Sus scrofa: one gene and its partner. The protein of the gene in region 1 interacts with the protein of each later gene in a pairwise test. Links are inferred from orthologs where the notes say so. Each region holds a gene or a part of one and is shown in the gene's direction. Other genes may lie near its edges.

Region 1 (4,305 bases):
ATACAAATCCATGGTAGAAAAGTAAAACTGAGCATCCCAGGATCTTCCAACCTGGGCACTATGTCTTAATTAAAATGGCTGAAGTTATGAATAACTTACACATGCCCAGAGAGGATGCTGTTAAGATGGGATTCCCAATTTCATTAACTGACATCTACAACATAGCAGTTATTAAATATGATAACTTTGTGGTTTAATAGATGTTTTTATGAACTTCTTTACTAGGAGAGTGTTTTTCACCCTTGTGGAGAGTAGCCCATAAGTCCATTCCATAGCCCCCATAGGCACCAATGATCTAGTCCTTTCTATGTACATATTGCAGAGATTAAGGATTATGGTTTTATTGGCCAATGACGTGAAAGGTGAGTAAACATGAAAAAGAACAACTTAGAAATTCACTTTCATGAATTTGCTTCCCAGAGAATTTAAACTGAATTTCAACCTTTTTGAAGCACTCATTTAGTGCATTAGAATGTCTCAGAAGTCTGTTTAGTGTTCCCAGAAGGAAAATAATTAGCAAGTTCTTCAATTGGTTTCTCTTCAATTTTCTATTCTCAAGTCTTGGTAGTTTGGGGTTTTTTTTGGCGGGGTAGAGGGTGTGTGTGTGTTTTCAGATGTACCTTAAGAGTCTACTATCATGCCCTTATGCAGAGGCTTATATGTTAGTATATTTTTACTAAAATCTAAATTAAGTCACCTGACATAGGATTGTGAGTTTACAAATATGCACTGATCTCAATTCTTGGGTATAAAAATTATATGAGTTATAGGTATATAATTTTTTTTTTACAAAATCACTTGTCAACTTTTCAAATTGACAAGTGCATTTACAATTTTGACTTTAGAGTTGAAAAACAATGAACTTAAATGTCAGTCTATTCACTTGTCAGTGTCCTTTAGCCAAAGACCACCGTGAACACACCTGTAGTTTAATAAATTTGGATCTTTGGAGTTCCTGTCGTGGCTCAGTGGTTAACAAATCCGACAAGGAACCATGGGGTTGTGGGTTTGGTCCCTGCCCTTGCTCAGTGGATTAGGATCCGGTGTTGCCGTGAGCTGTGGTGTAGGCCGCAGACGTGGCTCGGATCCCACGTTGCTGTGGCCCTGGCATAGGCCAGCGGCTACAGCTCCAATTCAACCCCTAGCCTGGGAATCTCCATATGCCACGGGAGTGGCCCTAGAAGATGCAAAAAAATAAAAAAATTAAAAATAAATAAAATAAATTTGCGTCTTTGAATTGTTGCAACAAGGAAAAACGTATACCATGGGGCCTTGCAAGAAGAGGGTGTTAGAAGGAAGTTGTTATAGGATTTAGGCTATGTAAGCACTTTTTTAGAGAGGGTTTAAGGAAGAAGGCTTTCCTCTGAAATACATCTTGTCAGGAAGTGGGAGCAGTTCTACGATTTGGTATGTCAGTTTTTACATAGAAGGCAAGAAGAATAGATTGAAGCCAAAGCTGTGACTGATAAAGGAGCAGTCAGTCTTATTATCAGCCAGGATAGGAAGATGTTTGGTCATTCTTGTTTTTTTGGACAATGCTTTTGTTTTTGTCAATGTACACATGTGATTATGGAAAGGTATGGTTTTTATCTTGATTCATCATAATTACAGAGTAGTCTTTTCCAATGTTGGTGTTCTGTTAACAAGAGAACACCACAGCTTAGCTGTGAGTTCCAGGCCAACTCCTAAAAGTCAGTACTAGGGCCTAGTTGATTGTGCCAGGCCAGCTCTTAAGATATCCAGGGGCTGCTTTTCTCCTTATCAAACTTCTTTTTGAATTTAATACTCCTCCTTAATACTTTTTTTTTTTTTGTCTTTTTGCCATTTCTTGGGCTGCTCCCACGGCATATGAAGGTTCCCAGACTAGGGGTCGAATTGGAGCTGTAGCCACTGGCCTCCGCAAGAGCCACAGAAACACGGGAATCCGAGCTGCATCTGAGACCTACACCACAGCTCACGGCAACGCCAGATCGTTAACCCACTGAGCAAGGGCGGGGACCGAACCCACAACTTCATGGTTCCTAGTCGGATTCGTTAACCACTGCACCACAACGGGAACTCCTCCTCCTTAATACTTATAATATTTACGTAGTATATTTAATAATTAACATATATTATTATGTTTAAATAATATACTTAAGGTTTAAGATCTTTTCTGTAGAGGAGTACATTCTATATTTCCTGTATTTTTGTTGACCCCAAAAGTTATTAGCTCTAACTATAATTTTCATAATACTAGAATAAAAGTAAAGTTTAATATACTACATTTTATCAATGACTTACGTTTTTGAAGGTATATGCTTCCAGCCTGCATCAAAACTTAGAACCAATTCTAAGAGTTTAAAGGAATTTTGTCTTACAGCAAACATCAAATCATACGCAAACAGATTCCTTGTCTCCATCCCCCAACCCTGTGTCACCTGTGCCTTTGAATAATCCAACGAGTGCCCCAAGATATGGAACAGTGATCCCTAATCGCATCTTTGTAGGAGGAATTGACTTTAAGGTACCTATTTATGCATGCGACATAGTGCATTTTTTGTATTAGAAGTTATTTTATTTCTCAGAAGTTGTTTCTTTGTGCAACTATAAAAACATTTTCTATTCACATAATGATTAGTAGGTTTCAAATTGTCTTAATATATAAAAAATCTTTTAAAAAACCGTGTTAAACAGAAGTGGCTGCTGTGACACAATGGGATCGGTGACTTCTCTATAGCACCAGGACACAGGTTCATCCCCAGCCAGACACAGTGGGTTAACCTGGTGTTGCTGCCACTGTCACATAGGTCACAACTGCAGCTCAGATCTGATCCCTGGCATGGGAACCTCTGTATGCTGCAGGTACGGCCAAAACAGGAAGAAAAAAAAAAAAAAAAAAAAAAAAAAAAAACTCTTGTAGGTTAAATAGAGTATATATAATTTTTCAGCTTCCCAAACAAGGAAATTGAGGCTCAATGACATATCTATAGGCTCTTAGCTAATTAGTGACAAAGTGAAGACTAGAATCCTAGTTTTCTGACTCATAGCTGCACATTCTTTATTTCACCATACCACACTAGTTATACATTTTTATATAGTACTTCAGTAGCCCAAATAATGAGTGATTGTAATTTTCAAAAGAACACTCATCGAAGGAAAGAAAAGCCAAAACACACACAAAAAAAAAACTTTTATGAAATCCTGTTTCTTTATCCCAGCTTTTATCTCAGGTTCTTGAATAACTTCCTAGACTTATGTCACAAATTGCTTTCTATCACCTAATTTAGAATTCAATCATCAAAAAAGGCCAGTGTCCTAGTCAGAATAAAGCATCTTAACAGTAATATGCTTAAATAATATAATTAGCTATTTCACTCTTAGAGAGGTATAATTTTGTGAGATGTTTTGCAGCACCCTCATTTGGGAGGTGGTAATAAACACTTACAGGAAAGTCAAGCATGGATGTTTTAAGTGAATATATAGAAGAATTTCTAAGCTTCCATATCACATATTAGAAAATTCAGGGAGCATTGACTTAATAAAAAAAATCTTTGATATTTTTAACTTGCTATTTTCCTCTGATCAATCTCTCACAGTTTGGATGGAATTACTTTTTTCTGCTCAAGAGAAATGTTATAGTTAGTATACTTGTCAAAATTATGAGTCTTAAGCAAGTATGTAATTGGTTCACTAAAGGTAAAATAATTTCTTATGAAATGTTTATTTTTTTGTCTTTTTTTTTTTTTTTTAGGGCTGCACCCACAGCAGGTGGAAGTTCCCAGGCTAGGGGTCAAATCAGAGCTGCAGCCACAAGCCCACACCACAGCCACAGCAGCACCAGAACTGAGCTGCGTCTGCGACCTATGCTTCAGCTTGTGGCAACACCAGATCCTTAACCCACTGAGCAAGGCCAGGGATCAAACCCTCATCCTCATGGATACTAGTCATGTTCTTAACCCACTGAGCCACAACAGGAACTACATGAAATGTTTATTTTTATAAAGATTTTCTATTTCTATGGAAAATAATAATAGGTGACTATAAATATTCAAGTTGAATATTCTTATTCAGAATTGATTTATATTAAACTAGCTTATTATATTTTTAAATAAATCATCAACAAATGTAGTGATTTGTTTGGCTAGGTTATTGTAGGTTACTGAAGCCCATCAGCTACAGTATAAACTTTGGAGGGCATTGTAACTGCTAGGTTTCCCTCACTTATCCTTATATCTTTCCCCAAACTGTGGACAATTTCCAGCAAGGAAATAGTTTGCCATAGTTGCAAGCAGTCTCAAACTTTTAAAAACTCTTATTTTTAGA
Region 2 (4,519 bases), on another chromosome or scaffold:
CTGAGCGAGGCCAGGGGTCAAACCCGCAACCTCATGGTTCCTAGTCGGATTCGTTAATGACTGAGCCATGACAGGAACTCCTATTCAGTTTTTTTTTTTTTTAAATGTCATTTTCTGTTTCTTTTCTTTTTGGCTGCACCTGCAGCATTGAGAAGTTCCTGGGCCGGGATGGAACTAGCACCACAGCAGTGACCTGAGCCACAGCAATAAAAACTCTGGATCCTTAACTCCCTTCATCACCAGGGAAATCTTCATTGTATTTATCTATTTATTTTTTCATTTATTTAATTTGGAAGTTCCCAGTTAGGGGTCATATTGGAGCTACAGCTGCCAGCCTACACCACAGCCACAGCAACAAAGGATCTTAGCTGGGAGCTGCGTCTGTGACCTACACCACAGCTCACAGCAACAAAGGATCTTAGCTGGGAGCTGCGTCTGTGACCTACACCACAGCTCACAGCAAAGCTGGATCCTTAATCCACTGAGCGAGGCCAGGAAATGAACCTGCATCCTCATGGATAGTAGTTGGATTGTTTCTGTTGCCACAATGGGAACTCCACATTGCATGTATGTATTTATTTTAGTGATTTTTATTTTTTCCATTATAGCTGGTTTACAGTGTTCTGTCAATTTTCTACTGCACAGCAAGGTGACCCAGTCACACATATACATATACATTTCTTTTTCTCACATTACCATGCTCCATCATAAGTGATTTGATATAGTTCCCAGTGCTATACAGCAGGATCCCATTGCCTATCCATTTCAAAGGCAATAGTTTGCATTGTATTTATTTTTATAGTTACTTCATGTTTGTGGGCAAGCAGTAACTGATTTTAAATTTACTAAAGGAATATTAAGTTTGGGCTGTATTCTTCACTTAAAACTGATATAATTTTTTTTTTTTTTGGCCACGCCCCAGGCATGTGGAAGTTTCTTGGCCAGGGATCTAACCTGCCTGTGCCACAGCAGCTCCAAGGCAGATCCTTGAACTACTGTGCCACTAGGGGGCTTCCGAAAAATTTTAACAAGAAGTAGTAGTGATTACTTGGATATGGCAAAAATCATGAGAATTTCCTGAATGTGGTTTATTGCATGCCCATTAGCGCTACGTTGAGACAGAAGCAAGTTTGAAGTTCTAGCCTCAAGTCAGTTCTGCTATGGGCATTAGCTAGAGAAAATCACAACCAATCCCTTCCTGTGAGATTTCCTAAGCATTTCTCCTTTATCCAGTGAATTCCCCAGGATAGGTAGGGAGTCGTAGACAGATTAGCAGTGCTGGGAATGAGAATTCAGCGGGAAGTCTAATCTTCCCGCCCTATTCAACTACCAATTACAAGCCAGGTATGGCTGGTGGAGATAGTAGTAGAGAAAGCTAGAGGGAGAAATGGACATAGCATGTGCATTTCCCAATCTCTCAGTCTGTGACTTTGGAGTCCTTCAATACTTGCAAGCAACATATTTAAAGCTTCCGTGGCGATAAGAGTAGGATCAAATTTTAGGACCTACAGGATGTGGTTGCTTATTTCCATATTGGAGGAGTTTGGATGGGGGAACAATGGGGTTGGAAGGGAGTTTCTGAAGTTGCGTCTGTACGTGATTTTACAGCGTACGTGAATTCAGGTGTCCTCATGAGTGGCTCGGTAGCGGTGGGGAATCCTAACCACAGAGTTTAGCCCCAGAGTCTTGCGAAAAGAACCTGGGGGACCATTTCCGCCGCCGAGATGCCCCGCCCTCCGTCCCTCCAAGGTTTCCTATGGGCGAGTTTGTCTCCCAAACCTTCCCCGCATGAGGTCACTCTGCCAGGTCACGTGCTCAAGCCCGCGGGAGCGCCACATCGCCAGCCGCACCCCTCCACCCCCACCCTGCCCACGTGACCCGGCCTACTTTCTCCCCACCCGACCCAACGACTTGCTCGGGAAGCCCCGCCCCACGCCGTGCGCTCTGCCTACGAACCTCCGCCTCTCAGCCGTCCGGGCTCAAGCGTGGCCCGTGGCCCCACGTGTTTACTCCTGTCCAATGGGAGTCGGAGTCCGGGAGCGAAGGGGCGGGGAGGAAAAGACGACTTCTTTACGCTGCGAGAAAGGGGCGGGGCTTCCAACGTCGTTCTGAGCGAGGGGACGCAACGGAGGCAGGCCGGAGCCGCTGCCGTCGCCATGACCCGTGAGCACCGAATCCCCCTTCTCTTGCCCCTTTCTCCTCTTCACCCTGCACAAGACTGCCAAATCTCGGCACTGACCTCCTTTTGGCTTCGCCAGCGAGACCCTTCTCTGGGAGAGGTCTATAGCGACCCTCACCCTAGCAGCCCGGAAATCGACCCTTCGCCCACCGCCACTTTTTGAGAACCTTACCCCCACCGCCCCTTCAGGCAAAACCCTTCCCAGACCTTCCGTGGTGTGGGGAGAAGCCCTGTGCCCCTGTGGTGGACCCCGAGCTCCTCTACTCCAGATCTCTGCCCATCCCCCACAGAGATCCATACCACGTACACCCACCACCACCACCACCTGTCTGGGCCCCCATGCTGCAACGAAATTCGAAACTTGTCTCTAGCAGGCTTCTCGGGACTGTCGTCCCTCGATTTCCCAGTTTGACCTGCCCCGTGGCAGCTTCCGCACCCCCCCTCCCCGCCCAATCTGCAGTCTAGGCCCTGAAAAACGGTCCCGTGTCGACGCCTGGGGAATGAAGTATTGGACCCTACTGGTGTCCCGGGTCAGGGAACAGGGTTGTCGGTGTGTGGCCAGAAAGGCTCTCGCGTCTCACCTTTTACCTTTTTTCTTTAGGCGGTAACCAGCGCGAGCTCGCCCGCCAGAAGAATATGAAAAAGCAGAGCGACTCGGTTAAGGGAAAGCGCCGAGATGACGGGCTTTCTGCTGCCGCCCGCAAGCAGAGGTAGCCCCAGGGAGGGGAGGGGAGGGTGGGGTGAGACCTGGGTTAGACCAAGGGTTGTACCAGCAAAGAGAACTACCTCAGGGCTTACCATCTGGACTAGTCGTGAGGGGCAGAGTGCATTGTTTGCTCTAGGGTTTTATTCCTCTCACCTTCTAAATTGTTAGCTCACAGCCATATAGGAACGGACTGGGGCTGGTGCTTACTCTCGGTCTGATTTGTGAGTGCCCCCCGGGTCTGACCTTAAGGGCAAGGGCAGGGAACTTCACATTTCAAATGCAGTAGTGGTTATGACAGCCCAGTCCTTTTGGCCCTCCTTGCAGTTCATTTGTCCTCCCTTCTCCCAACCTTTCTCACTGGTGTTGCTGGGTGTGGTACTTGGCACAGAATAGCCTTGGGCCTGTGTGGCCAGACTTCTGACCCCTTGGGCAAAAGCCAGATAGAGACTGATTGCCTTTTGAGCCTCAGCTCTCTTCCTCTTGTTCTCCTAGGGTGGGAATATAGCAGCCACACGCTGAATTTTGTCCCATCCACTTCCATCTTATCCTTTGTGCCCTTCATCCCCCTGCATCTTGTCCTTTTTGCCCTCTGGTACCTCCCAGTGCCCCATCATCTCTACCCCCAGGGACTCGGAGATCATGCAGCAGAAGCAGAAAAAGGCAAACGAGAAGAAGGAGGAACCCAAGTAGCTTTGTGGCTTCGTGTCCAACCCTCTTGCCCTTCGCCTGTGTGCCTGGAGCCAGTCCCACCACGCTCGCGTTTTCTCCTGTAGTGCTCACAGGTCCCAGCACCGATGGCATTCCCTTTGCCCTGAGTCTGCAGCGGGTCCCTTTTGTGCTTCCTTCCCCTCAGGTAGCCTCTCTCCCCCTGGGCCACTCCTGGGGGTGAGGAGGTTACCTCTTCCCAGTGTTTTTTATTCCTGTGGGGCTCACCCCAAAGTATTAAAAGTAGCTTTGTAATTCCTTGAGCGCCTGGTTTGACTGGGGATTTGGGGGGTTGGGGATGGAGGAATGGCTGCCTGCCCTTTCCCACCAAAAGGGGAGACCTTTAGACTCCAAAAGGTTGTGGATATGTAGATTAAGTGAAACGTCAAAGCAAAAATCCTTTATTGTGCTACAACAAACAGACAAATATGTTGGGTACGTGGTAGAGAAATCCTCTCAGAACCGTAGGGACTTCTTTTCTGTGATATCAGTCCCACACTCGGACCTTAAACACCATCTTAAGGATGGGGTTGAGGTCCTAAGAAGGAAGGCTCCAAGACCTAAATGTATGCCCCTCTTCCTTATTCTTCCTCAGTTTGCTCACCTTCTTGAAAGTTGGCCCAGATCCTGCTGCTCATTAACTTCCCATGGCTAGCTGCTCTCAAGTGTTCACATTCTCTTCTGTTCTGTCATTCCTCATGGAATGAGGGTGGTTTTTGTCTTTCCATTTCCTTTGACCTCAGCATCAGGATTAAAACCCAGGGTAGTCTCTGCTCCTTTCTTCCTGTGTCCTGGTTTGTTCTGGGCTTCTTACATCCCTGTACCCAGGGCTGAACTACTTATTTTCCTTTTTATCTTCAAGGGCAGAGCCAACTAAGTCTTCAGTCCCCATTGGTCTTTCCCTGCCCCCATCTCCACCATGAGAGCCA

The links. The genes of interacting proteins can lie anywhere in the genome.
Region 2: the proteins of BOLL (region 1) and SERF2 interact in a two-hybrid assay, tested with the Homo sapiens proteins (2 studies listed by BioGRID and IntAct). The two-hybrid records come from large-scale screens. The link is inferred for Sus scrofa from reciprocal best matches to the Homo sapiens genes BOLL and SERF2.

The regions. Positions count from the first base shown.
Region 1 is NC_010457.5:101,595,457-101,599,761, reverse strand, and holds part of BOLL (protein boule-like), read left to right. Parts: intron 1-2,362; coding exon 2,363-2,506; intron 2,507-4,305. UniProt on the Homo sapiens protein: Probable RNA-binding protein, which may be required during spermatogenesis. May act by binding to the 3'-UTR of mRNAs and regulating their translation.
Region 2 is NC_010443.5:127,765,094-127,769,612, reverse strand, and holds SERF2 (small EDRK-rich factor 2), read left to right. Parts: upstream 1-2,094; 5' UTR 2,095-2,156; coding exon 2,157-2,163; intron 2,164-2,780; coding exon 2,781-2,889; intron 2,890-3,511; coding exon 3,512-3,575; 3' UTR 3,576-3,853; downstream 3,854-4,519. UniProt on the Homo sapiens protein: Positive regulator of amyloid protein aggregation and proteotoxicity. Induces conformational changes in amyloid proteins, such as HTT, driving them into compact formations preceding the formation of aggregates.